Linked DNA regions of Anolis sagrei. The protein of the gene in region 1 interacts with the protein of each later gene in a pairwise test. Links are inferred from orthologs where the notes say so. Each region holds a gene or a part of one and is shown in the gene's direction. Other genes may lie near its edges. The genes, in order: BANP, CEP76, PPIF and TOX4.

Region 1 (7,214 bases):
AATGCACTCTGAAATTGCATTATATGGTCAACGTAAAGCCATACAGTGAAGGTTCTTGTGGGTTTTTTCGGGCTATAGGGCCATGTTTTAGTGGCATTTCTCCTGACGTTTCGCCTGCATCTATGGCAAGCATCCTCAGAGGTTGTGAGGATGCTTGCCATAGATGCAGGCGAAACGTCAGGAGAAATGCCTCTAGAACATGGCCCTTAGCCCAAAAAAACCCACAAGAACCTAGTGATTCCAGCCATGAAAGGCTTCGACAATCCATACAGTGAAGTTTGGAATGCCATGATATGATCAACACAAATCCATACAATATAGTTTGAATTGCATTATATGTGCCTATACTGGTCATATACTGCCATTTAAAATTGCATTATATGACAGTGTGGATGGGACTCCGGTTCCGTCCTGCAGTTTGAATCCACTTGAACCACGAGGGCTCAATGCTATGGGATCCTGAGATTTGTAGTTTGGCAAGGTCTTCAGTCTTCCCTGCCAAAGAGGGCTGGCTGGTGCCTGACCTAACTACAACTCCCAGAATTCTAGATCACCGAGCCAGGGCAGTGCAGATGTTCTTCTTTAAAAGTGGTCTTATCTAAATACTAAGTATATTTAGTTTTTTGATTTATAAAGTACCATGAACTTTGATGGCTGCATATAAATGAACAAGGAAGAAAAACGATGTTTACTATGGTGCGTTTTATTTTGATTCAAGAAAAAATATCCCATCATAACACAGCATTGACAGAAGAAACAAACATGTTATTTATTTATTTTATTTATTTATCGTGTCAGTATCAACCAGACAATTGTATTACATTTTAAACAAATTTTTAACAAACAGACAAAACAGAGTTTGCAAGCTTGGTAGTTGATTAAATGTCCTTTGACCAGTATCTGGCCGCTTGGAGTGCCTCTGGTGTTGCCGCAAGGAGGTCCTCCATTGTGCATGTGGCAGGGCTCAGGTTGCATTGCAGCAGGTAGTCAGTGGTTTGCTCTTCTCCACACTCGCATGTCGTGGATTCCACTTTGTGGCCCCATTTCTTGAGGTTGGCTTTGCATCTCGTGGTGCCAGAGCGCAGTCTGTTCAGCGCCTTCCAAGTCGCCCAGTTTTCTGTCTGCCCAGGAGGGAGTCTCTCATTTGGTATCAGCCAAATGAGAGCCCTCACAATTGAGGTTCTGGGTTTGAGCCTGCCACTTTTGGACTCTTGCTTGCTGGGGTGTTCCAGCGAGTGTCTATGTAGATCTTAGAAAACTATTTTTCTAAGGGGGACATGAAAGAAGCCTCCTTGCAGGATTGCAAGACATCTGGGCATCCCCTGGGCAAAATCTTCGTAGACAACTGATTCTGTCACTCCAGAAGCAACCAGAAGCGACTTGCAGCATGCAAACAAACATGTGCGTGTGTGTGTGTCTATATATATATATATATATAATATAATATAATATAATATAAAACATATTATTTATATATATTATAATATATATTATATGATATGATACATTTTTAAATAAAATAATTTAAATATAGTATAATATATTATTTTATATATATACCTATGGGCCCTCGGTGGTGCAGTGGGTTAAAGCACTGAGCTGCTGAGCTTGTTGACCGAAAGGTCGCAGGTTTGATTCCGGGGAGCGGCGTGAGCTTCCACTGTCAGCCCTTGCTTCTGCCAACCTAGCACTTTCAAAACATGCAAATGTGAGTAGATCAATAGGTACTGCTCCGGCGGGAAGGTAATGGTGCTCCGTGCAATCATGCTGGCCACATGACCTTGGAGGTGTCTATGGACAACAGATCTTCGGTTTAGTAATGGAGATGAGCACCACACCCCAGAATCAGACATGACTGGACTTAATGTTAGGGGACAACCTTTACCTTTATATATACCTTTATAACATAACATATATTATACTTTATATATTGTATATATAATATAGATTACAATATACATTATATTATAATATATGATAAATTTTAAAATAACTTAATTTATATATAGTATAATATATTATTGAATATAATACCTATATAACATAATATATATTATATTTTATATAAATAATCTATATATAATATAGATTATAACATGTTGTTGTTGTTGTTCATTCGTTCAGTCGTCTCCGACTCTTCGTGACCTCATGGACCAGCCCACGCCAGAGCTCCCTGTCGGCCGTCACCACCCCCAGCTCCCTCAAGGTCAGTCCGGTCACTTCAAGGATGCCATCCATCCATCTTGCCCTTGGTCGGCCCCTCTTCCTTTTGCCTTCCACTTTCCCCAGCATAATTGTCTTCTCTAGGCTTTCCTGTCTCCTCATGATGTGGCCAAAGTATTTCAATTTTGTCTCTAGTATCTTTCCCTCCAGTGAGCAGTCAGGCTTTATTTCCTGGAGGATGGACTGGTTGGATCTTCTCGCAGTCCAAGGCACTCTCAGAACTTTCCTCCAACACCACAGCTCAAAAGCATCGATCTTCCTTCGCTCAGCCTTCCCTAAGGTCCAGCTCTCACATCCGTAGGTTACTACAGGGAAGACCATGGCTTTGACTAGGCGGATCTTTGTTGCCAGTCTGATGTCTCTACTCTTTACTATTTTGTCGAGACTGGACATTGCTCTCCTCCCAAGAAGTAAGCGTCTTCTGATTTCCTGGCCACAGTCTGCATCTGCAGTAATCTTTGCACCTAGAAATACAAAGTCTGTCACGGCCTCCACGGTTTCTCCCTCTATTTCCCAGTTGTCAATCATTCTTGTTGCCATAATCTTGGTTTTTTTGACGTTTAGCTGCAATCCGGCTTTTGCGCTTTTTTCTTTCACCTTGATTAGAAGGCTCCTCAGCTCCTCCTCGCTTTCGGCCATCAGAGTGGTGTCATCTGCATATCTGAGGTTGTTAATGTTTCTTCCAGCAATTTTCACCCCAGCTTTGGATTCCTCAAGCTCCGCACATTCTCGCATGATGTGTTCTGCATACAAGTTAAAAAGGTTGGGTGAGAGTATGCAGCCTTGCCGTACGCCTTTCCCAATCTTGAACCAGTCTGTTGTTCCGTGGTCAGTTCTGACTGTTGCTACTTGGTCCTTGTACGGATTCCTCAGGAGAGAGACAAGGTGGCTTGGTATGCCTATCCCACTAAGAACTTGCCACAATTTATTATGATCCACACAGTCAAAGGCTTTAGAGTAGTCAATGAAGCAGAAGTAGATGTTTTTCTGAAACTCCTTGCCTTTCTCCATTCTCCAGCGGATATTGGCAATCTGGTCTCTCGTTCCTCTGCCTTTTCTAAACCCAGCTTGAACATCTGGCATTATGTATATATATGTTATAATATTATATATATACACACACACTCTCTCTATATATTATATGTATGTATAATATGTATATATATATAGATTATAACATACATTATGTGTATATATATAATATATATATATATACACACACTCTATATATATTATAATATGTATTTATAATATTATATATATAAATTATAACATACATTATGTATATATGTATGTAAATATATACACACCCTCTCTCTATATATTATATGTATGTATGTGTGTATATATATAGATTATAACATACATTACGTATATATATATGTATGTATAATATATACACACACTCTCTCTATATATTATAATATGTATTTATAATATTATATATATATAGATTATAACATACATTATGTATATATATATTATAATATGTATGTATAATACACACTCTCTCTATATATATATTATAATTTGTATGTATAATATATACACACTCTCTCTATATATTATAATATGTATGTATAATATATATATATAGATTATAACATACATTGTGTATATATATTATAATATGTATGTATAATATTATATTTACATATATATATGTGTGTGTGTGTGTATGTGTGTGTGTGTACTGTATTTGCTGTATCTGGAGGAACACTTGCAGTTGCAATGTCAAGATGCAAGCCTGAGCCACTCTTTGGGTTTAAGGACTTCAATTCCCAGCGCGCACTGCGCCCTCCCTCTCTCGCCCTACAACCCCCAGAAGGCGCGAAGAAGCAACCCTTCGCGCAAAGCTCTCTGGGAGCCGTAGTCCGGCGGCCGGCATACCACTGGGACTGCGAGTGGTGGGAGGCTTCCACTGCGCCTGCGCCAGGAGAAGCCCAGCGGAGGGAGGCAGAGCGAGCGCGCGCGCCCTTTGCCTGTGCGCCTGCGCAGTCGCTTTCTCCTTGGAGGATCTCTCGCGAGGAAGGACGCCATTATCGCACAGAGCCACCCGATTTCCCAAACACCACGAGAATTCGGCCAGGCAAACGGTAACCTCGCTTCTTCCTGCGGCGGGCGGCTGAGGATGGAGCTGCCGGGTCGGGGCCTCCTCCTCTGGCGGGGTTTCTCCTCACGGCGCCGGAACCGCCGCAAAGGCCCGGTTTTCTCCCTCAGAAAGACTAGGCCGAAAAGAGAGGGGGGGGGGAGCGGGTGGGCGGGGCTTATGAGGGGGCGTGGCTTGGCTCCAATGGCCCCGCCCCCTTAGGGCTGGGGTTGGGGTGATGGACTTCTACAAAGTGGAATGAAAGCCTCGAGCCTTTCCCATTCAAGTTGTAGTTCAAACTGGGTTAACTTTTCGGTGTAGATTCTTTCTGGCGGACGACATTAGTCAAAGCATTGTATAAAATTACCTTCTATTTATTATTTACTTATTTATTTATTTACAACATTTATATGCCATCCTTCACACCCCAAAGGGGACTCAGAGCGGCTTACAAGATATATTATTTATTTAAAACTTTTATATCCCAATCTTTCCTACATCAGACCGGCTATATATATGCATACAATATATTACAGTGGTTCTCAACCTGGGGGTCGGGACCCCTGGCGGGGGGGGGGGTCGCAAGGGGGTTTCAGAGGGGTCGCCAAAGACCATCAGCATTTTCTGTTGGTCATGGGGGTTCTGTGTGGGAAGTTTCACCCAATTCTATCATTGGTGTGGTTCATAATTCTCTGATTGTAGGTGAACTATGAATCCCAGCAACTACAACTCGCAAATGTCAACGTCTATTTTCCCCAAACTCCACCAGTGTTCATATTTGGGCATATTCGGTATTCATGTTTTGTCCAGATCAATCCATGTTTGAGCTTCAAACTACAAGAGAGGAGATTCCATCTGAACATGAGGAAGAACTTCCTGACTGTGAGAGCCGTTCAGCAGTGGAACTCTCTGCCCCGGAGTGTGGTGGAGGCTCCTTCTTTGGAAGCTTTTAAACAGAGGCTGGATGGCCATCTGTCAGGGGTAATTTGAATGCAATATTCCTGCTTCTTGGCGGGGGGTTGGACTGGATGGCCCATGAGATCTCTTCCAACTCTTTGATTCTATGATTCTATGAGTCCACAGAGGACTCTGGATGTAGGTGAACTACACCTCCAAAACTCAAGGTCAATGCCCACGAAACCCTTCCAGTATTTTCTCTTGGTCATGGGAGTTATATGTGCCAAGTTTGTTTCAATTCCATTGTTGGTGGAGTTCATAAAGCTCTTTGATTGTAGGTGAACTATAAATCCTAGCAACTACAACTCCCAAATGACAAAATCAATCCCCCCAACCCCACCAGTATTCAAATTTGCTCCAGTGAATGAAAATACATCCTGCATATCATATATTTACATAATAGCAGTAGCAAAGTTGCAGATATGAAGTAGCAATAACAATTTTATGCTTGGGGGTCACCACAACATGAGAAACTGTATTAAGGGGTCATGACATTAAGAAGGTTGAAAACCACTGATATATTATATTGTTAGCATAGTACAATATCAGTATTATATATTACTATATTGTACTATACCATTATATTGTAATATTATTAGTAATATTACATGTAATATAAAATATATAATTATATTATATTATTAGTAGTATTATATTGTATTGCATTATAATATTGTAAATATTATATGTATATACAATATAGTATATTATATTACTAGCATAACACAGGAGACAAGATGGAACTGTCCCCTGGCCTTCCCTCTCTTCACTCTGGCCCAGAGCGGCAGTTGGTGGTAATATATCTCAATATATTTTGGACTTCAGCTCCCAGAAGCGCCTACCAACATCACCAATAGTTAACATTTCTTGCAATTGAAGTCCAAAAACATCTGGAGGATAAAGGTCGAGAATATTTCAGACTTCCTGTCCAAACTTTGTTCAAATCACATGTCTGGGTCTTAATGTTAAATGACAACCCATGCAAAACGAGATCTTGTCTTATTTGTGAGTTAAAAGTTGTGATCCAAAGAAAAATCATGAGAATCCTGGATAGAGAAGAAGATAATTCAGGTTAAGGAGGATTGGACTCCTTGTCTTTAAGGTTGTGATTTGTGTGAGAATCCTGCACAAAGAGCAGTTGGGAACAGCTTAGCAGATGGGTCAAAGTGCTTCAGTTTGGGATGAAATCCAATTCTATCACTATAATAATAATAATAATAATAATAATAACAAGCACACACACATATATATAATGCTATAATATATATTTATATAATATGAAACACTATAACGTGTGTCGCAGTGGGTTAAAGCACTGAGCTGCTGAACTTGTTGATCGAAAGGTCGCAGGTTCGATTCTGGGGAGCGGCGTGAGCTTCCGCTGTCAGCCCTAGCTTCTGCCAACCTAGCAGTTCGAAAACATGCAAATGTGAGTAGATCAATAGGTACCGCTCCGGCAGGAAGGTAACAGTGCTTCATGCAGTCATGCCGGCCACATGACCTTGGAGGTGTCTACGGACAGCGCTGGCTCTTCGGTTTAGAAATGGAGATGAGCACCACACATGATTGGACTTAATGTCAGGGGACTACCTTTACCTTTACCTATATTATATATATATATAATATAAAACACTATAACATATATATGTTATAAAACAATTCCTGTGTTACATAGTGATATATGTTTTATATCTTATAAAACAATTCCTATGTTACATAGTGTTTTTTACACACACATAATATCTTATAAAGCAATTCCAGTTACATAGTGATTTATATATATTATATAAAAGCTATTATATATATATAAAATGTATATAAATACTTTCTCCCTCCATCTTCCCTTCCCTTCCACGCTTTCGTTCTTCCTTCCTTCCCTCTTCCCTCTCTTTCTCCTTCCTTCCTTCTTTCCTTCCTTCCTTCCTTCTGTCCCTTTTGTCTTCCC
Region 2 (7,696 bases), on another chromosome or scaffold:
GTTTTGCAGAAGAATAAAACCTTCTTCTTTTTCTTTCTTTCTGATTACAAATTAACCTCGACAGTCTGAACAAACTCATGATGTTGTTACTGGTTAGATAATGCAGATTGTGTATCCATTATCCAAAATGCTTGGGACAAGAAATATTTCTGGTTTTTAAAATTTTGGAATACCTGTAAAAAAGGTAAAGGTAAAGGTTTTCCCCTAATATTAAGTCCAGTCGTGTCCGACTCTGGGGAGTGGTGCTCATCTCTATTTTTAAGCCGAAGAGCCAGCGTTGTCCGTAGACACCTCCAAGGTCATGTGGCTGGCATGACTGTATAGCACGCCGTTACTTTCCTGCCAGAGCGGTACCTATTGATCTACTCACATTTGCATGTTTTCGAACTGCTAGGTTGGCAGAAGCTGGGGCTGACAGCGGAAGCTTACACCACCCCCCGGATTCGAACCTGCAACCTTTAGGTCAGCAGCTCAGCACTTTAACCCACTGCGCCACCGGGGGCTCGAATAAGGGATACTTAAGCTGTATTTTATTGAGACTTCATGGAATATCCAATTAAGACCATTTGAATATCTGTACTATACAGGGAATATCTGTACTATACAGGGAGAAAAGCATGTTTATACACTTCCCATTTTAATGTATGATTCTCGGTATTAATAGTATAAGCAATTATGTACTATCCCTTTGGAAGAATTGTGTGCTAATATATACAATCTGAATGAGAAATGTTGCTGAAAACTGTAATATCCACATCAATTAGTGCTGGAAAGCAGGGATAATTCACTTCAGATACTATTTCTCATATACTATTTCTATACAGCAAGGAGTTAAAATGCTCAAATTCATTCTAAAAAGAAGGGTGTTTCTCTGGAGAAGACACAACAAGCCCAAGTTAGCACCCAACATTACATTCAATGTACTTACCTTCAGCATTTATACACAGCTCTGTTGCATTCTCTTCTGTTGTTGCATATGGATTATTTCCAATCATTGGCACAAGACAATCAGTATAAAAGTACCCAACTTTAGACATGTCAAGGGTGGAAATAACTAGATCTACAGCCAGCTGGCCAACATTCCCCACCGATACCGCGGGCTGAAATGACATAACAGATGCATGCGAGTTACATCATCTGAAAAAAATGACTGATTTTCAAATTTAAAAAAACATGTTAGTTGAACACTGAACATTATTAACCATTTCTATTGAGTCCCCTTGGGGAGATAGGGCAGGTTATTATTATTAGCAGTAGTGGTATTAACACATTTCAGCTGTCAAACCACAATACTATAGTAAAGTAATGCCAAAGTAATTTATAGCAAAATGTACACATTCAGATTATTATTATTACTATGTTTATTTACACCTCACAAAGAAGACTCAAAGCAGTTTGTATTAGTATATTTTATAATGTTTTGGAGAAAAAAGTAATGTGGCTGCTATTTACCAATTTTAAAAATGGTATCTGCTTGTTCAGATAATTGTCCTTTTAATCGAACTGAGGCGAAAGGGTATCAAATCCTTTTTAACACAAAGAGACAGGATTCTTCAGCAATTATTATATACATAGTTTTGCTAGCAATCTTACACATAGGTTGTGGTGAGCTTTTCAGGTTGTATTACCATGTTCCAGAAGCATTCTCCCCTGACATTTTGCCCACATCTATGGCAGGTGTCCTCAGAGGTTGTGAGGTCTGTTGGAAATTAGGACAGTGGGGTTTATATATCTGTGGAATGTCCATGGTTGGAGAAAGAACTCTTCTCTGTTTGAGGAAAGTGTGAATGTTGCAACTGGAAGCTTGATTATCATTTAATGGCCTTGTAGCGTCAAAGCCTGGCTGCTAGCTGCCTGAGGGAATCCTTTGTTGGGAGGTGTTAGCTGGCTGATTGTTTCCTGTCTAGAATTCCCTTGTTTGAGTGTTCCTCTTTATTTACTGTCCTGATTTTAGAGTTCTTTTAAAAAAATACTGGTAGCCAGATTTTGTTCATTTTCATGGTTTCGTCCTTTCTGTTGAAATTGTCCACATGCTTTTGGATTTCAATGGTTTCGCTGTGTAGTCTGACATGGTAGTTGTTAGAGTGGTCCAGCATTTCTGTGTTCTCAAATGATATTCTGTGTCCAGGTTGGTTCATCAGGTGCTCTGCTATGGCTGACTTCTCTGGTTGAATTCGTCTACAGTGCCTTTCATGTTCCTTTATTCGTGTTTGGGCAATGGTGCATTTGGTGGTCCCTATGTAGACTTGTCCACAGCTGCATAGTAGACTCCTGCAGAGGTGAGAGGATCCCTTTTGTCCATATGTATTCTTGACATACATCAAGGGAACCACTGACCGCATAGGAACCCTGATAAAGAAAACCTACAAACTGGGTTGTTGTAAGTTTTTCGGGCTGTATGGCCATGTTCCATAAGCATTCTCTCCTGATGTTTCTCCTGAAACTTACAGACAACTCCACTCCTGTATGCTTGTCCACTATGCCCTGCCTCATGTACAGAGGAAGAATTGTTGGAGGCTACAGACAATGCCATTGCTGTTGCCTGTTTTTGGTCAAAAGATGTTTAGCTGCCTGTGCTCCTTCTATTTTTATCAGTTTTACACTAATTTATGCAATGCTTTTGATATGAAATAAATAAATCCTGAAACTTGAAACTTCTAGGCCATTAAATGCTAATCAAGGTGGCCAATTGAAAATTCACACCTACCTCCAACAGACAAGAGCTCTTTCTCCCACCCTGGACCTTCCACAGATACTTTTAAAAAAATGCGTGCCATTCAGTCGGTTGAAGACGTAGCGGAGCGCTAGTGGTCTCGTTTGAGAGGCGGGAGTATAAAGTTTTGTCCTGACACAGTTCAGTCGCCATCATGCGTTGGAGCAGTGAGGAATGTGCTTTTGCCATTGAGGCCTACTTTTCGAGCGGATTTGGAGTGGCCGGCCCGTTCTCCAGATTTGGCCCCTTGTGATTTTTTTCTATGGGTTTTTTTGAAATCCCGTGTTTATGTGAACCATCCAAGGACCCTACAAGATTTGGTTTACTCGGTGTATGGAGAATGGAGGACGTCACCTACCTAATTTGATCTTCAAAACTATGTAAAACAAAACTTTAGGTATTCGCCTACATTATATATTTTAAAAATTCCGATTCATACAATGGGTTTTATTAAGTTTTGAAAAAAGAAAGTTATGCTGCCTCACCCTACAAGAGTTCTTTCTCCCAACCCTGGACATTTCACAGATATATAAACCCAATTTTCCTAGTTTCCAACAAACCTCACAACCTCTGAGGATACCTGCCATAGATGTGGGCGAAACGTCAGGAGACAATGCTTCTGGAACATGGCCATACAGCCTGAAAATTTTATTTATTTATTTATTTATTTATTTAAAAGTTTTGTATACCGACCTTCTCACCTCTCTTGAGGGAATCAGGCCGGTTTCCGACCATAATATCACATACAGTCAATAAAACATCATAATTCGTATTACAGTAAAACATTAAAACAGCAATTACATTCAATAACTACAATGGTCAGTCGTCACACTAAAATCGTTGTTCATCATCCTCCATCCATATCTCAGGGTATTGGCTCACTAGTCGAATGCCTGTCTCCATAACCACGTCTTCACCTGTTTCCTAAATGTCAGGATAGAAGGGGCGGTTCTGATCTCCAGTGTGAGAGAGTTCCAGAGTTGAGGGGCCACCACCGAGAAGGCCCTGTCCCTCGTCCCCACCAGATGCGCTTGCGAGGCCGGTGGGACGGAGAGCAGGGCCTCTTCAGACGATCTTAATAATCTTGATGATTCATAGGGGAGAATACGTTCGGAGAGGTAAACAGGGCCGGAGTCGTTTAGGGCTTTATAGCCCTAAACAAACAACAACCCAGTGATTCCGGCCATGAAAGCCTTCGAAGATATACCTACAAACTATCTATAGACCTCGCAAGAAAACCCCGCAAATGCTACATTCAGCAAAAGACAAGAGGTATCCTCTCAGTGGTTCTCAACCTGTGGGTCCCTAGATGTTTTTGGCCTACAACTCCCAGAAATCCCAGCCAGTTTACCAGCTGTTAGGATTTCTGGGAATTGTAGGCCAAAAACATCTGGGGACCCCAGGTTGAGAACCAGTCTAACCACTGCAGGAGTCTCACCAAAATTATAGCTCCCATCATCCCATAGCACTGAGCCATGGTGTCAAACTGCATTAAATTCTACAGTCATCCCATAGCAATGTCAAACTGCTTTAAATTCTACAGTGTAGATGCGCCCTTAAAGGGGCACACACACACTCCCTCCCTCCATATTTTAGGTAGAGACCCCTCCTACTGCCTCCCTCCTCCTCCTCCTCCTCCTCCCACGCCTGACTCAATGCCACGCGCCCGCTCGCGCGTTGCCCGGGCAACGGGGGGTTGGGCGCTCTCTCCGGCCGTCTCGCGCCGCGCAAGGAAGGAACTGTCCATTACCATTAGCAGCGTGCAGCCTTTGAAGTCAGCGGGCGCGCGGCCCTCGCAGGGAACGAACATTCTATCCAAGACGCTGACTGGACGCACCGCAGGCCTACACAAGAGTTCCCTTTGGTAGCGAGAGCAAGGGGCCTTTCTTGTTCACCGCCTCGGAGAGGTGTCTTGCACAGTGCCTGTCCCCATCTGCGCTTACTGACAGCCAGTTAACGGGCGAGCGACAGTTCCTTTGAAGGAAAATTACATTTTTGTTGTTGTTGTTGTTGTTGTTCTGCCGTACGGGTATTAATTGCCTAACAAGACTCGATTGCCTTGCTATCAGGCAATTGTGATAGACACCTTTTATTTTTTGAAAGGCGGTTGAGGCCCGAGCAAGCGCATGGCTAGCTGTGGGAGGGGCCGAGTTTGCTGATTGGCTGGAGATCCAGCCAATGGGTGCTCTTGGGAGGGGGGAGACGGGATAGGCGGTTTGAGCGCGCGGGAGAACGGAGGAGTGTGGTGTTGTGGTTGGAGGTGCCTGGGATGAAGGCCTGTCTGGTGTCCACTTAGTCTAAGGAATTGGGACAGTTGCTGAGCCATGGCCTTGGCTCCCGGGAAAGCCTCAGAGCTCAAGCAGATCATTCACCAGCAGCTGACCAAGGTGAGAAGGAGGAGGAGGAAGAGAAAATGCCCATTGAAAGCCTTTATAGCAGGCTTGGGCCAACTTGGGCCCTCCAGGTGTTTTGGACTTCAACTCCCAGAATTCCTAACAGCCTCAGGCCCTTTCCTCCCCCCCCCCCCTCAGCCGCTTAAGCTGAGGCTGTTAGGAATTCTGAGAGTTGAAGTCCAAAACACCTGGAGGGCCCAAGTTGGCCCATGCTTGCACCATAGGAAGTCCACAGTTTGGGGATGGCTGCTACAGATGGTTGAATCAATGGATGCAGAGGCTGGGTGTATATACGAGGGGTATTTTAAAAGTAAGGTCCGTTTTGTTGTAGATACTAGTAGTTCGCGCTCATACCGCAATGAGCACGTGCATGCCTCGGGAACAACTGTGCTCAGCCGTATGTGATACGGTTTTTGTCAGCAAGGAACCTGAACGGTCCTCATCATGGACGTTGTCACGGCCATCTTTGAATTGTCGTACCCACTTACGCACTTTGCTTTCACTCATAACAGTATCACCGTACACTTCACAAATCTGTCGATGGATTTCTGCAACAGGCAGGTTCCTTGCTGGCAAAAACCGTATCACTGAGCGAACCTCACATGCGGAGGGTGAGTTGATAGTCTTAAACATTTTTAAAGCACAGAACAGAACCGTACAGGTTAGCTACAGAGCGGAAACTGAGCACAGTTGTTCCTGAGGCATGCCGGTACACAACGCACGCGCTAGTTGCGGTATGCGCGCAAACTACTAGTGTCTACAATAAAACGGATCTTACTTAAAAAAATACCCCTCGTAATAACAGTGGAATTAAAAAATAAGCAAATAAGCAAAAGTGGGAATCCCACTGAACTATGGCTTATGAGCAGGAATAATCGAACCTGATACTCTCCATCTTTGGTTTAAATCTGAAATTGGCTTGGTCTGAAATAGTCAACTATACACCAAGGCTGGTTTGCCTGCCTTCGTTTATTCAGTTGGACCTTCATACCCACATATTCTGCATTCTTCGATTCCCAACATCCATGGCTTAAAAACACTCCCCCCGCCTCCAAAAAAATCCAAACCGCCGACCTTGATTTTGTCATTTTGTATAAGGAACACCACTTTATTATGCCACTGTATATCATGGGACTTGAGCATCCATGACTTTTGGTATCCGCAGGAGGACCTGGAACCAAACCCCAGCAGATACCAAGGGCCCACTGTACTTATTTATTTATTTACAACATTTATATGCTGCCCTTCTCACCCCAAAGGGGACTCAGAGCGGCTTACAGGATATACATACGTCCAATATATTATATTATTAGCATAGTACAATATCAATATTAACTATTACTATATTGTACTATACCATTGTATTGTAATGTTATTAATAATATTACATGTAATATAAACATATACCTATATTATTATTAGTATTATTATTTCTTCATAGATGGATGTCCACAGCAGGGTCCGAGAAGTCCTTGCTGAGACTATTCGTGAAGAACTGGCACCTGAACACCAGCAACTCTCAGAACAACATCTAATGAAAGCCCTGATACGGAGAGGAATCATTAATGATGTTATGAAAGAACTCAGCTTTGTAACTGTGAGTAGTTTGAAGAAAACATCTGAAATGGTACCAGATATTGATTACATAATACAGATAAGGTAAAGGTCTAGTCATGTTCGACTCGGGAGGGTTGGTACTCATCTCCTTTTCTAAACCGAAGAGCTGATGTCTGTAGACACCTCCAAGGTCATGTGGCCAGCATGACTGCTTGGAGCACCGTTACCTTCCAACTGGAGCGGTATCTATTGATCTACTCACATTTGCATGTTTTCGAACTGCTAGATTGGCAGAAGCTGGGGGTAATAGCAGAAGCTCACTCCATTCCCTGGATTTGAACCACCAACTTTTCAGTCAGCAAGTTCAGCAGCTCAGTGGTTTAACCCACTGCACCACCGGGCTCTCGTGTATAATACAGATAACCTGGTACAAAAATATTTATGATTGGATTCATTGTGGAGCAGTGTTAATTTTAATAGATCAAAACTGCGTAGGTAAATTTCTTTGTTGTCATCTGCTGGAAGTTAGGGTGAGCTGGATCTATCTGCTCCAGTCAATTGCCTTCACTTCTGAATCTTCCTCCATCCTCTAACTCACCCATACACTCAAGGGATATGTTGCTGCATGAGGGACGAACCTGAAATAGAATTAGGTTATAAGAAGAAAGCACTTATTTGACATCAGAAGTCACTCAATTCAAAGACAATCGCACATGCAATACTTAAAATCATGTCTGGTGACGGAAACATATACGGTCATTTTAAGTTTGACAGAAAAGGGAACATCACTTTGTGAGTTATCTTCCTATCCTATCTAGGGATATTGCAGCTCTGGATGCAGGTTAAACCCCTTGCTGGCTAACCATTTTATGTAAGGTGTTTTTAAAAAATGGAATTAATTTGAAATTGCTATATTTCTGCAACCACAAAATGCCCATAAATTCTATCTTGAGTTTCAAATTATTACTGCTAGATGCCTCTCTTAGCACACACACAAAAGAATCAGTCATTTGCAAGATGACAGTACTGCAAC
Region 3 (6,843 bases), on another chromosome or scaffold:
CCCCTCTTCCTTTTTCCTTCCATTTTCCCCAGCATAATTGTCTTCTCTAAGCTTTCCTTTCTTCTCATGATGTGGCCAAAGTACTTCATCTTTGCCTCTACTATGCGTCCCTCCAGTGAGCAGTTGGGCTTTATTTCCTGAAGTATGGACTGGCTGGATCTTCTCACGGTCCAAGCAGGATATACTTTAGTTTAAATACTGTGGTAAAGCTTCTACTTACTCTGCTTATACACATTTACCAACCCTCACAAGTACCACTTGTCCATGGGTTCAGAGGAGGCCAGAGGGAAAGGAGATCCAAGCAGCAGGCACTGAGGCGACCAAGGGGGCTCTTCACATCTTTCTGAGAGGCAACATAGAATCATAGAGTTGGAAGAGACCTCATGGGCCATCCAGTCCAACGCCCTGCCAAGAAGCAGGAATATTGCAATCAAAGCACCCGGCAGATGGCCATCCAGCCTCTGTTTGAAAGCTTCCAAATAAGGAGCCTCCACCACACTCCAGAGCAGAGAGTTCCACTGCTGAACGGCTCTCACAGTCAGGAAGGTCTTCCTCATGTTCAGGTGGAATCTCCTTTCTTGTAGTTTGAAGCCATTGTTCCATGTCCTAGCCTCCAAGGAAGCAGAAAACAAGCTTGCTCCCTCCTCCTTGTAACTTCCTCTCACATATTTATACATGGCTATCATGTCTCCTATCAGCCTTCTCTTCTTCAGGCTAAACATGCCCAGCTCTTTTAGCCACTCGTCATAGGGCTTGTTCTCCAGACCCTTGATCATTTTAGTCGCCCTCCTCTGCACACATTCCAGCTTGTCAACATCTCTCTTCAATTGTGGTGCCACAATATTCCAGGTGTGGTCTAAACAAGCCGGAATAGAGCGGTAGCATGACTTCCCTGGATCTAGACACTATGCTCCTATTTATGCAGGCCAAAATCCCATTGGCTTTTTCCCCCCGCCCCATGACATTATTGGCTCATGTTTAACTTGTTGTCCACGAGGACTCCAAGATCTTTTTCACATTTACTGCTCTCAAGCCAGGCGTCCCCCATTCTGTATCTTTGCATTTCGTTTTTTCTGCCTAAGTGGAGTATCTTGCATTTGTCCCTGTTGAATTTCATTTTGTTAGTTTTGGCCCATCTCTCAATCTGTCAAGATTGTTTTGAATTCTGCTCCTGTCCTCTGGAGTATTGGTGTTGTCTGCAAACTTAATGATCATGCCTTCTAACCCTTCATCTGGGGATCACAACCAGACACAGTGAAGACATCTGCCCTTGCACTATGCTACTCTGCTGATGAGTATGCATGCCCAGTGTGGAACACATCTCACCACACTAAAACAGTAGATGTGGCTCTTAATGAGACATGCCGCATTATCATGGGGTGTCTGCGCCCTACACCACTGGAGAAATTACACTGCTTAGCTGGGGGAAGTAGCAGCCAATAGTGAAAGGACCAAGGAAGAGACATCTCCAGCTCATCCCCTGTTTGGGTATCAACCAGCACGTCAATGACTTAAATCTAGAAATAGTTTTCTAAAATCTACAGAGACACTCGCTGGAACACCTCAGCAAGCGAGAGTCCAAAAGTGACAGGCTCAAACCCAGGACCTCAACCAATGGCTGATACCAAATGAGAGACTCCCCCCTGGGCACACAGAAGACTGGGAGACTTCGAAGGCGCTGAACAGACTGCGCTCTGGCACCACGAGATACAGAGCCAACCTCAAGAAATGGGGCCACAAAGTGGAATCCACGACATGCGAGTGTGGAGAAGAGCAAACCACAGACCATCTACTGCAATGCACCCTGAGCCCTGCCACATGCACAATGGAGGACCTTCTTGCAGTAACACCAGAAGCACTCCAAGTGGCCAGCTACTGGTCAAAGGATATTTAATCAACTACCAAGCTCACACATTTTGTATTTGTCTGTTTGTTTGTTTTGTTCTGTTAGAAATGTAATACAATTGACTGGTTGCCCTGACACGACAAATAAAAATACCCTCCATCTAAGTCAGTGGTTCTCAACCTGGGGGTTGTGACCCCCAGGGTGGTCATCTGGCCATTTCGGAGGGGTCGCGAGTCCGCCTCCGTTGGCCCCACCCCATTCGGCGTGGACGCGAGGCGGGCAAGGGGTCCTCAGCACGAGGCCTGGCCTCGCGCAAAGCCCCCTCGCCCGCCTCGAGCTTTCACCAACGTCGGAACCCCTGAGCGGATCGCAAGGGGGGTGTCAGATGAGTCACCAAAGACCATCTGAAAACACGGTATTTTCTGTTGACCATGGGGCTTCTGTGTGGTAAGTTTGGCTCAATTCTATCATTGGTGAATTCAGAATACTCTGACTGCAGGTGAACTGTAAATCCCAGCAACTATAGCTCCCAAATGTCAAGGTCTATTTTCACCAAACTACACCACTGTTCACGTTTGGCCATATTGAGCATTCATGCCAAGTTTGGTCCAGATCGATCAGTTCGAGTCCACAGTGCTCCTCTGGATGTAGGTGAACTACAACTCCAAAACGCAATGCCCATCAAATCATTCCAGTATTTTCTATTAGTAATGAGAGTTCTGTATGCCAAGTTTAGTTCAATTTCATCATTAGTGGAGTTCAGAATGCTCTTTGAGTGTAGGTGAACTATAAATCCCATCAACTACAACTCCCAAATGACAAAATCTCTCCCCCCCCCCCCCACCCTACCAGTATTCAAATTTGGGCCTATCGGGCATTTGTGCCCAATTTGGTTCAATGAATGAAAATACAACCTGCATATCAGATATTGACATTACGATTCATAACAGGAGCAACATTACAATTATGAAGTAGCAATGAAAATAATATTATGGTTGGGGGTCACCACAACAAGAGGAACTGTATTAAGGGGTCACAGCATTAGGAAGGTTGAGAACCACTGATCTAAGTCACTAATAAAGATGTTGAACAGGACTGACCCCACTGCCCTGAACTCCCCAGAGGAGGAAGCAGGGTCTCTCTGCTTCTCAGCAGAGTAAACAAGTAAGTACCTTGTCGATGGCTTTCATGGCTGGAATCACTGGGTTGTTGTAGGTTTTTTTCGGGCTATATGGCCATGTTCTAGAGCAGGGGTCCACAAACTTTTTAAAGAGAGGGCCAGGTCATAGTTCCTCAAACTGTTGGAGGGCCGGATTATAATTTGGAAAAAAAAAATGAATTCCTATGCAAACTGCACACATCTTATTTGTAGTGCAAAAAACACTTCAGAACAATACAATACAATAAAAAAGAACAATTTTAAGAAATATAAACCATTGTATTTCATTGGGAAGTGTGGGCCTGCTTTTGGTTGATGAGATAGGATTGTTGTTGTTGTTGTGTGCTTTCAAGTCATTTCAGACTTAGGTTGACCCTGAGCGAGGGCTGAGTAAATGACCTTGGAGGGCCATATCCGGCTCCCGGGCCGTAGTTTGAGGACCCCTGTTCTAGAGGCATTCTCTCCTGACGTTTTGCCTGCACGTATGGCAAGCATCCTCAGAGGTTGTGAGGTGAGGTCACAACCTCTGAAGATGCTTGCCATAGATGCAGGCGAAACGTCAGGAGAGAATGCCTCTAGAACATGGCCATATAGCTCGAAAAAACCTACAACAACCCAACTACCTTCATCACAACTGGGGCCTTCTCCTCCCAGAAGAAAGCCGACTCAGTGCGTTATCACAGTAGAGCTGAGTGGGGATTGTAGTTGAGTGAGACCCAGACCCTTAGAGAGGCCCCTCGCAGGAGATGCCTGTGGGGAAGGCCCTCTCGCGCGCCGTCCAAACGCCCGCCTCGTGACGTCACGGCCACGCGCCGTCGCCGAAGGGAGGCGGGGAGGAGGGCTTATAAAAGAGGCCTGAAGCGCGAGGCCGGCTTTCTCAGCGCGCTTGAGAGAGGGACGCGGGAAAGGACGCTTCCTCTCAGGTCTCTCTGTCTTCTGCCCGCCGCCATGCTGGCCCTGCGCTCCGCCCGCAGTCGCCTCCTCCTCCTCCCGCTGCTCCGCTCCGCCACCCGGGAGTGCAGCGACAGCAGCAGCAGCAGCCGCCGCGGCGAGGACGACGACGACAACCCCCTGGTCTTCCTGGACGTGGGTGCCGACAACCAGCCCCTGGGCCGCGTCGTCTTCGAGGTGCGCGCGCCTTCTCTTTGCCTCTCCTCAGGTGCATCTACACCAGGTATGAGCAAGCTTGGGCCTTCCAGGTGGTTTGGACTTCAACTCCCACAATTCCTAACAGCCGGTAGGCTGTTAGGAATTGTGGGAGTTGAAGTCCAAAACACCTGGAGGGCCCAAGCTTGCCCATACCCTGGTCCACACTATGGAATGACTTGCTTTGCCCTGGCCTTATGCTGTGCTATCCTGGGAGTAGTTGCTAGGTCTCCAGCCTTCTCTGCCCCAGAGGGCTAGCCCCTCAATGAAATACAACTCCACACAGAGCCATGGCAACTCAAGTGGTGTCAAAACCGCATTGATTCCACAGGGTATTCGCACCCTCCCTCCTCTCCAGGCGCCTTTCCTCTGGGCGTCCTCTCTCTTCAAGGTGCCCTTCAAAGGTGCCATTGGAAACCATAACAATGTTCTGAATCAGGGATTTATTGAACTTTATTTATTTACAATATAACTAGCCGCCCCCTGCCACGCATTGCTGTGGCCCAGTCTGGTGATCTTGAAAATAAAGTAATAAGAAGTTGTTGGTTTCTAATATATGTAATTTCTTTATACTTGTGGGTAAACAATGTTTCTTGTTTCTTTGTCAGTGTTGATGCAGAGGTTGTCTGGTTTGCCTACTTTGGAACATGCAACATATATTTGCCCTTTCAAATCTCTAGTACTATATCTGTCATATACATATATATGTATGTGTGTGAATCTCATATATATGTGTGTGTGTGTGTGTGTGTGTGTGTATGGCTGGGTGACTTTGTGTCAGGAGGGCTTTGATTATATTTTCTTGCTCTGGTGAAGGGAGTTGGAGTGGATGGTCTTAAGGCAGCATTTCCCAACCTGGGGGTCGTGAGGGGGTGTCAGAAGGGTTACTAAAGACCCCCAGAAACTATAAATCCCAGTCAAGGTCTATTTCTGCCTAAACACCCATCTGTGTTCATATTTGGACATATGGAGTATTCATGCCAAGTTTGGTCTAGATTTTTCAGTTGTTTGAGTCCACAGTGCCCTCTGCATGTAGGTGAACTACAACTCCAAAACTCAAGATCAATGCCCACCAAACCCTTCTAACGTTTTCTGTTGGTCATGGGTGTTCTGTGTGCCAAGTTTGGTTCGATTCCATCGTTGGTGGAGTTCACAATGCTCTTTCATTGCAGGGAACTATAAATCCCAGCAACTACAACTCCAAAATGACAAAATCGATTTTTTGAGTGATGGTAACTCCTTGGGTTAATAGGTGTCTTATGGTCAAATTTGGCAGCAATTCGTCCAGTGGATATTGAGTTACTATGTCACTCAAAACGAACAGAGCATTTATATATATATATATATATATATATATATATATATATATATACTAGCTGTCCCCTGCCACGTGTTGCTGTGGCCCAGTCTGTTGATCTGGAAAATAATGAGAAAGTGTTGGTTTCTAATATATGTTATTACTTTATGCTTGTGGGTAAACAGTATTTCTTGCTGTTTCTTTGTCGGTTTTGATGTGGAGAGTGTCTGGTTTGTCCACCCTGGAACATGCAACATATCATTGTCCTTCTTTAAGGGTCCCTTTCAAATCTATGATACTATATCTGTGAGTGTGTGAATTATATCTATCTATATCTATGGCTGGATGGCTCTTTGTCAGGAGGACTTTGATTATGTGTTCTTGCCCTGGTGAAGGGAGTTGGATTGGATGGCCTTAAGTATTTTCTGTTTGTCATGGGGTTTCTGTGTGGGAAGTTTGCCCCAATTCTGTCGTTCATAGGGTTCAGAATGCTCTTTGATTATAAGTGAACTGTGAATCCCAGTGACTACAACTCCCAAATGTCAAGGTCTATTTCCCCCAAACTCCATCTGTGTTCATATTTGGATGTATTGAGTGCTTGTGCCAAGTTTGGTCCAGATCCATCATTGTTTGAGTCCACAGTGCTCTCTGAATGTAGGTGAAGTACAACTTCCAAACTCAAGGTCAATGCCCACCAAACCCTTCCAGTATTTTCTGTTGGTCATGGGAGTTCTGTTTGCCAAGTTTGGTTCAATTCCATTGTTGAAGGAGTTCAGAATGCTCTTTGATTGTAGGTGAACTATAAATCCCAGCAAGTACAACTCCCAAATGACAAAATCATGATTTTTTGAGTGATGGTCACTCCTTGTGTTGTGGGACGTTTTGTTGCCAAATTTGGTGTGATTTCATTCATTGGTTCTTTTGTTTTTAAGGTACTCATTATTCACAGATATAGATATAATAATAATAAAACTTTATTTTTAACTTGCCCTCTCTCCCCAAAGGGACTCAGGGTGGCTTCCATAAACAAAAATGGCAAACATTAAATGCTGCGTACAACAATAAAATGAAAACATTTAAACATAGAATCGAATCAAAAAGCCTTTGGCTATAAAAACATAAATCAGTCAGTCTGGCAACATACATAATACAATTAAAGAGTTAAAATCTGTCTAAAGATATAAAAATATAGCTCTTTGGTAAATTAAAATAGTCAGTCAGTTTTGTCCCCACCAGTTGTTCCCACCAGCCGTGCTTGAGACCGGGGTGGGACTGAGAGGAGGACCCCCTCCGCTGATCACAGAATCCAAACAGATTTGTAGGTGGGGATGCCGGTTGTCAAATACTCTGGGCCCAAATGGTTTATGAAATTTATAGCCTCTCTTTCCATAGTCA
Region 4 (7,424 bases), on another chromosome or scaffold:
AGCATGTTTAACTTGGGAGGAAAGAAGGCCAAGAGGAAACACGACAGCCATGTTTAAACATCTGAAAGTAGGTCACCTTGAAAAGAGGTGACATCTCCCCTCTCCTCAGGGCAGGTTTGTTTTCTGCTGGTCTATAAACTAGGACACAATGGAGCAATGGCTTCAAATTACAGGAAAAGAGATCCCACCTAAACCTTAGGAAGAACTTCCTGGCAGGAAGAGCTGTTTGGCAGTGGAATATCCTGCTGCCTGAGAGTGTGGTGGAGTCACCTTCTCTGGAGGTAGATGGCCATTTGTCAAGAGGGCTTTGATGGTGTTTCCCACCTGGCAGAATAGGTGTAGACTGGGTGACCCTTGGGGTCTCTTTACATTCTGATTCTGTTAACTGCTCATATATTACATTTTGGGTTTGATTAATTGTGAACAGTGCGATTTCTTTTTGTGCTTTTGAACAGATGTTTGAATGTTTCTTATGAGTGAAAAGGTGCTTTGAACAGAAAACTTCAACCTCTTTCTTATTATTTCCTCTCTGATATATGGAAGTAAAAAGTTTACTGCAGGCCTGCACAACCAAGAGGAGATTCCATCTGAACATGAGGAAGAACTTCCTGACTGTGAGAGCCGTTCAGCAGTGGAACTCTCTGCCTTGGAGTGTGGTGGAGGCTCCTTCTTTGGAAGTTTTTAAACAGAGGCTGGATGGCCATCTGTCAGGGGTGATTTGAATGCAATATTCCTGCTTCTTGGCAGAATGGGGTTGGACTGGATGGCCCATGAGGTCTCTTCCAACTCTTTGATTCTATGATTCTAGGGCTCTTCAGGCATTTGGGACTCCACCTCTTAGAAGCCCAGAGTGTCCAATGATCAGGAATTCTGGGAGGTGAAGTGCACATTTATACATATCCTGGTCTACATACTGGAATCATACAGTCCTGTTGGTTGTCGAAAGTCAATTCATATTTAAATGCTTTTTAGCTGCTAGTTTAATTATGTGAAGATGGGTTTCTGTGTTTTCTGGGCTGTACTATGGCCATGTTCCAGAAGCATTCTCTCCTGATGTTTCACCCACATCTATGGAAGGCATCCTCAGAGGTTCTGAGGTCTGCTGGAAACTCAACAACCTCTGAGGATGCCTGCCATAGATGTGAGCGAAATGTCAGGAAAGAATGCTTCTGGAATATGGCCATAGAGCCAGGAAAACTCACAGCAACCCAGTGATTCCAGCCATGAAAGCCTTCGACATATGTGGTAAATGTTTATGAGGTATCATATTTAGTTTATTTAAGTCATTTAATTTTGATAATGTTTGTTCGTTTGGATTAGCTATTATAAGTTTTATATTGCGATTCTTTTGTTTATCTGTTTGTGTGTTGTTGAAAAAGATCTTGGAGTCCTCATGGACAGCAAGTTAAACATGAGCCAACAACGTCATGCGGCGGCAAAAAAAGCCAATGAGATTTTGGCCTGCATCAATAGGAGCATAGTGACTAGATCCAGGGAAGTCATGCTACCCCTCTATTCTGCCTTGGTTAGACCACATCTCAAATACTGTGTCTAATTCTGGGCACCACAATTGAAGAGAGATATTGACAAGCTGGAATGTGTCCAGAGAAGGGCGACTAAAATGATCAAGGGTCTGGAGAACAAGCCCTATGAGGAGTGGCTTAAAGAGCTAGGCATGTTTTAGCCTGAAGAAGAGAAGACTGAGAGGAGATAGCCATGTATAAATATGTGAGGGGAAGTCATAGGGAGGAGGGAGAAAGCTTTTTTTCTGCTGCCCTGAAGACTAGGACGTGGAGCAATGGCTTCAAACTACAGGAAACTAACTGTGAGAGCTGTTCAGCAGTGGAAATCTCTACCCCAAAGTGTGGTGGAAGCTCCATCTTTGGAGGATTTTAAACAGAGGCTGGATGGGTTGGGAGTGCTTTGAACGTGACTGTCCTGCTTTTTGGCAAGGGGCTGGACTGGATGTCCCAGGAGGTCTCTTCCAACTCTGTGATTCTGATTCTCTGTTGGCACTGAACGTTTGCCTCTTTTATTAGAAACCACCCTGAGTCCCCCAGGAGAGATAAGGCGGGTGATAAATCAAGTATTATTTCTACTGAAGTCCAAAACAGCCGAAAGGCCACAGGCTATGCAGGCCTGGTTTACTGTAACTAAATATCAGAAAATAAAAAAGTTGAAGCAGTGTGTGTGTGTGTGTGGGGGGGGGGGGGGGAGATATGAACTTTGTGATGAAGCATTTAAAAAAAAAACTTGCGAAGGCCAAATCCTTCTAAAACAGGCATGGGTCAACTTGGGCCCTGTGATATTATGATAGCTGGGTCTGGAAGCTCTGAGCTCCTGCAAAGGCAGCTGTGAATAAGGGAAGAGAGGGGGCAGAGTGAGAGCGGGGAGAGCAAAGGAAGGATGGAAAGGAGGGGACGTTTAGTGTAAGGGTTAGGGAAAGATTTAGGGTTTGGGTTACGGTTAGGGTAAGGTTTAGGGTTAGGGTAAGGGTTTGAGTAAGGGGTTAGGCTTAGGCTTATGGTATGGTTAGGGTTTCACCATTAAAGAACTGGTGATAGTATGATAGCTGGGTCTGGAAGCTCCAAGCGTTATGGAGATGCTGCAAAGAGGGCTGTGAATAAGGGAAGAGAGGAGGCGGAGTGAGAGCGGGGAATGCAAAGTAAGGATAGAAAGGAGGGGATGCTTAGTGTAAGGGTTAGGGCAAGATTTAGGGTTATGATTAGGGTACGGTTTAGGGTTTGGGTTAGGTTTAGGCTATGGTAAGGCTTTGGGTAAGGGATTAGGCTTAGGCTTACCATACGGTTCAGGGTTAGGGTTTCACCATTAAAGAACAGGTGATGGTATGATAGCTGGGTCCGGAAGCTCCGAGCGTTACGGAGATGCAGCAAAGGCGATTGTGAATAAGGGAAGGGGGGGGGGGGGTGGAGAGAGAATGCTGCAATGCTGGTTTGGGATTATGATTAGGGTACGGTTTTGTGTTTGGTTTCATGTTAGGGTAAGGTTTAGGCTAAGGAAAGGGTTTGGATAAGGGATTAGGTTTACTGTATGGTTCTGGGTTAGGGTTTCACCATTAAAGAACTGGTGGTAGTATGATAGCTGGGTCCGGAAGCACCGAGCGTTACGGAGATGTCGCAAAGGTGGTTGTGAATAAAGGAAGGGGGGTGGGGAGAGCGAAGGAAGGATAGAAAGAAGGGGACGCTTAGGGTAATGGTTTGGGTTAGTTAGGGTATGGTTTAGGGATTGGGTTTTCGTAAGGTCAGGCTTAGGGTAAGGGGTTAGGCTTAGGGTACAGGTTAGGGTAAAGTTTAGGGTTTGGGTAAGGGGTTAGGCTTAGGGTACAGGTTAGGGTAAAGTTTAGGGTTTAGGTAAGGGGTTAGGCTTAGGGTACAGGTTAGGGTAAAGTTTAGAGTTAGGCTTAGGGTACAGGTTAGGGTAAGGTGTTAGGCTCAGGATACAGGTTAAGGTTTGGGTAACAGGTTAGGCTTACTGTATGGTTCAGAGTAAGGGTTTCACCATTAAAGAACTCTTACATCCCTTCTATATTTGTCTCCGGCATGGCTTACATTAGGTAAGTCTCTCTTGTGCAAACAGCACTCCCGATACGTAATGCTCGGAGCTTCCGGACCCAGCTATCATACTATTACCTTGGGCCCTTGGGGTGTTTTGGACTTCAACTCCCACCATTCCTAACAGCCTCGGGCCCTTTCCTTTCCCCCCTCAGCCGCTTAAGCAGGCCCTCCGCCCCTCCCATACCCGAGTCCCCGATGACGATGTATTTGAACAGGTAGGCGTAGGCCATGGCTGCCGGGAGCCCCTGAGAACGAGGCGGGAGGGGGCCTCCACGGGCCGCTTTCGCTCACGCCACGGGAACTCTGCCTACTCCTCTCGCGCTTCCTATTTCAAAGCCGTGGCTCTGACCCGCCCTCTTCCTTCCCGGCGCTTGGCTTCTTCCCTTTCCGGTGCCTTCTCCTTCATGACGGCAGCCCCTGGTGGACTTCCGGCGGCACTCTAGGGCATCTCTTCTGGGCCGCCTCTATTCCTCCTTGTGTTGACTCCGCCCACTCCTTTGGTCTTCTTCGGACTGGCTGCTCTATTGCGTCACATCCGGGGGGAGAGGGGAAAGGGAACGCCGAGCTCCAGCCTCGAAGCCGTTACTTAGACTCTTTGACGTCACATCCGGGAAATGCCGAAAGCGCTCTCCTGCCTGAGAATGGCAGCGCGCGCGGCCCTCCGGCCTCCCTTTCTCCCTCAGTCGCCTTAACGGTCCGAACGAGTGAGGAAGGCAGAGCGAGGCCGCGACTCCCGCAGGGAAACACGGCCTCCCTCCTCTCACCGCAGGGAAGGAAGAGTTAAGGCCGCCACAGGAAAGGGCCGTGTGCAAAACGTCGGGCGGAAGTGACGTTCCCTGCCGGCCTTCGTTTGGGTGGGCGGAAGAGGCGGAAGAGGCTTCCGTTTCCGGGAGAGGCACTGGAGGGGGAGGAGGAGGGGGAGAGAGAGTCGAGCGGGGTCTCCCCGCTCTCCCTGCTCTGGAGCTTCCTTCGCCGCGGCCATGGAGGTGAGGGGGCCTCGGGGAAGGGGAGAGGGCCTCCCAGGGGCCGTTTGAGTGTCTGTCTCGTTACTGCCTCCACCTATGCACTCCTATGGACTCCTCTTCCTTGAAACCAGCATGGGTGGAAGCCCCACGCATTCATCCATTCATTCAGACAGGGCGAATCCAGTGAGGACGAATACAGGTTGACTATCCCTTGTCTGAAATGTATTTGGAATTTACTTCTAGTCCCTAACATTTCAGACAAGGGATAGTCAACCTTTATTCCTCCCCACTGGATTCGCCCTGTCTGAATGAATGCATGGGACCAGAAGTATTTGGAATTTCATAGATCGATAAATCGTAAATATGCATACATACATATCTTACGGACTTGGGAATTCATAAGGCTTTCCCCCGACATGTAAGGGATCAGGATTCCTCAGTTCATCTTGATTACTTTTCATCTTTAGGTTATTGTGGGTTTTTCCGGGCTATATGGCCATGTTCTAGAGGCATTTTCTCCTGATGTTTCGCCTGCGTCTATGGCAAGCATCCTCAGAGATAGTGAGGTCTGTTGGAATTAGGAAAATGGGTTAATATATCTGTGGAATGACTGGGGTGGGGCAAAGAGCTCTTCTCTGCTGGAATCAAGGAACATGGAAGGCACTGCAGACTATTTCAACCAGAGAAATCAGCCATAGCAGAGCACCTGATGAACCAGCCTGGACACAGCATATTATTTGAGAACACAGAAATGCTGGACCACTCCAACAACCACCATGTCAGACTACACAGAGAAGCCATTGAAATCTACAAGGATGTATTTGGAATTTACTTCTGGTCCCTAACATTTCAGACAAGGGATGTTGTTGTTCATTCGTTCAGTCGTCTCCGACTCTTCGTGACCTCCTGGACCAGCCCACGCCAGAGCTCCCTGTCGGCTGTCACCACCCCCAGCTCCTTCAAGGTCAGTCCAGTCACTTCAAGGATGCCATCCATCCATCTTGCCCTTGGTTGGCCCCTCTTCCTTTTGCCTTCCACTTTCCCCAGCATAATTGTCTTCTCTAGGCTTTGCTGTCTCCTCATGATGTGGCCAAAGTACTTCAACTTTGTCTCTAGTATCCTTTCCTCCAATGAGCAGTCGGGCTTTATTTCCTGGAGGATGGACTGGTTGGATCTTCTCGCAGTCCAAGGCACTCTCAGAACTTTCCTCCAGCACCACAGCTCTAAAGCATCTATCTTCCTTCGCTCAGCCTTCCCTAAGGTCCAGCTCTCACATCCGTAGGTTTCTACAGGGAATACCATGGCTTTGACTAGGCGGATCTTTGTTGCCAGTGTGATGTCTCTACTCTTTACTATTTTATCGAGACTGGACATTGCTCTCCTCCCAAGAAGTAAGCGTCTTCTGATTTCCTGGCCACAGTCTGCATCTGCAGTAATATTTGCACCTAGAAATACAAAGTCTGTCACGGCCTCCACATTTTCTCCCTCTATTTTCCAGTTGTCAATCATTCTTGCTGCCATAATCTTGGTTTTTTTGATGTTTAGCTGCAACCCAGCTTTTGCACTTTCTTCTTTCACCTTGATTAGAAGGCTCCTCAGCTCCTCCTCGCTTTTGGCCATCAGAGTGGTGTCATCTGCATATCTGAGGTTGTTAATGTTTCTTCCAGCAATTTTCACCCCAGCTTTGCATTCATCAAGCCCCGCACATCCTCGCATGATGTGTTCTGCATACAAGTTCAATAGGTTGGGTGAGAGTATGCAGCCTTGCCGTACGCCTTTCCCAATCTTGAACCAGTCTGTTGTTCCGTGGTCAGTTCTTACTGTTGCTACTTGGTCCTTGTACAGATTCCTCAGGAGAGAGACAAGGTGGCTTGGGATGCCCATCCCACCAAGAGCTTGCCACAATTTATTATGATCCACACAGTCAAAGGCCTTGACAAGGGATAGTCAACCTTTATTCCTCCCCACTGGATTCGCCCTGTCTGAATGAATGCATGGGACCAGAAGTATTTGGAATTTCATAGATCGATAAATCGTAAATATGCATACATACATATCTTATGGACTTGGGAATTCATAAGGTAAAGGTTTTCCCCTGCCATGTAGGGATCCGAGTTCCTCACTTCATCTTGATTACTTCTCATCTTCCTTGGAAACAGGTTCATATGGTAAAGGTAAAGGTTTCCCTTGACATTTAAGTCTAGTCGTGTCCGACTCTTGGTTGTTGGTGCTCATCTCCAATTTTTAGCCGAACAGCTGGTGTTGTCCGTAGACACCTCCAAGGTCATGTGGCCAGCATGACTGCATGGATCGCCGTTACTTCACTTCTTTGCTTCACTTCATTTTATTTCTTAATTAGTCGCTCTCCACCAAGGTGCTCCAAGCGACTTACAATTTAAAATAGCATTTCACAATATAAAACATTCAACATAAAAACCTTTAGCAGTGACTATTTGGCAAATTTGATCTGATTACTTAAATGCACAACCAAACAGCCAAGTCTTGGGTGCTTTTACAAAAGGTCCCAACTCCGACATTGCTCTAACATATGGAGGCAATGAGTTCCACAACATTGGAGAATAGATTGAAAAAGCTCTACCTTTCCGCAAGAGCGGTACTAATTGATCTACTCATATTTGCATGGTTTTGATCTGCTGGGTTGGCAGAAGCTGGGCCTAACAGCGGGAACTCTTGCCACTCCCCAGATTTAAACCTGCAACCTTTTGGTAAGCAAGTTCAGCAGCTCAGCGGTTTAACCCACTGTGCCACCTGGGGAATTTATATCTATACATAATAAGGTACTTTGGAGAACCAGAACACAGAACACAAAATCCAATGGGGCTCAGTACAGATAGAGCATGCACAGGCAAATTTCACCACCCCA

The links.
Region 2: the proteins of BANP (region 1) and CEP76 interact in binary tests that used the Homo sapiens proteins (3 or more experiments, as listed by UniProt). The two-hybrid records come from large-scale screens. The link is inferred for Anolis sagrei from reciprocal best matches to the Homo sapiens genes BANP and CEP76.
Region 3: the proteins of BANP (region 1) and PPIF interact in binary tests that used the Homo sapiens proteins (3 or more experiments, as listed by UniProt). The two-hybrid records come from large-scale screens. The link is inferred for Anolis sagrei from reciprocal best matches to the Homo sapiens genes BANP and PPIF.
Region 4: the proteins of BANP (region 1) and TOX4 interact in binary tests that used the Homo sapiens proteins (3 or more experiments, as listed by UniProt). The two-hybrid records come from large-scale screens. The link is inferred for Anolis sagrei from reciprocal best matches to the Homo sapiens genes BANP and TOX4.

The regions. Positions count from the first base shown.
Region 1 is NC_090028.1:25,809,843-25,817,056, forward strand, and holds the start of BANP (protein BANP), read left to right. Parts: upstream 1-4,200; 5' UTR 4,201-4,319; intron 4,320-7,214. UniProt on the Homo sapiens protein: Controls V(D)J recombination during T-cell development by repressing T-cell receptor (TCR) beta enhancer function. Binds to scaffold/matrix attachment region beta (S/MARbeta), an ATC-rich DNA sequence located upstream of the TCR beta enhancer.
Region 2 is NC_090024.1:66,286,383-66,294,078, reverse strand, and holds the start of CEP76 (centrosomal protein of 76 kDa), read left to right. Parts: upstream 1-4,688; 5' UTR 4,689-5,037; coding exon 5,038-5,100; intron 5,101-6,547; coding exon 6,548-6,703; intron 6,704-7,696. Other genes in the region: PSMG2 (proteasome assembly chaperone 2), read right to left, coding at 929-1,100, 4,464-4,523. UniProt on the Homo sapiens protein: Centrosomal protein involved in regulation of centriole duplication. Required to limit centriole duplication to once per cell cycle by preventing centriole reduplication.
Region 3 is NC_090023.1:153,128,677-153,135,519, forward strand, and holds the start of PPIF (peptidyl-prolyl cis-trans isomerase F, mitochondrial), read left to right. Parts: upstream 1-3,830; 5' UTR 3,831-3,953; coding exon 3,954-4,133; intron 4,134-6,843. UniProt on the Homo sapiens protein: PPIase that catalyzes the cis-trans isomerization of proline imidic peptide bonds in oligopeptides and may therefore assist protein folding. Involved in regulation of the mitochondrial permeability transition pore (mPTP).
Region 4 is NC_090026.1:10,955,375-10,962,798, reverse strand, and holds the start of TOX4 (TOX high mobility group box family member 4), read left to right. Parts: upstream 1-4,410; 5' UTR 4,411-4,555; coding exon 4,556-4,561; intron 4,562-7,424. Other genes in the region: RAB2B (ras-related protein Rab-2B), read right to left, coding at 3,760-3,805. UniProt on the Homo sapiens protein: Transcription factor that modulates cell fate reprogramming from the somatic state to the pluripotent and neuronal fate. In liver, controls the expression of hormone-regulated gluconeogenic genes such as G6PC1 and PCK1.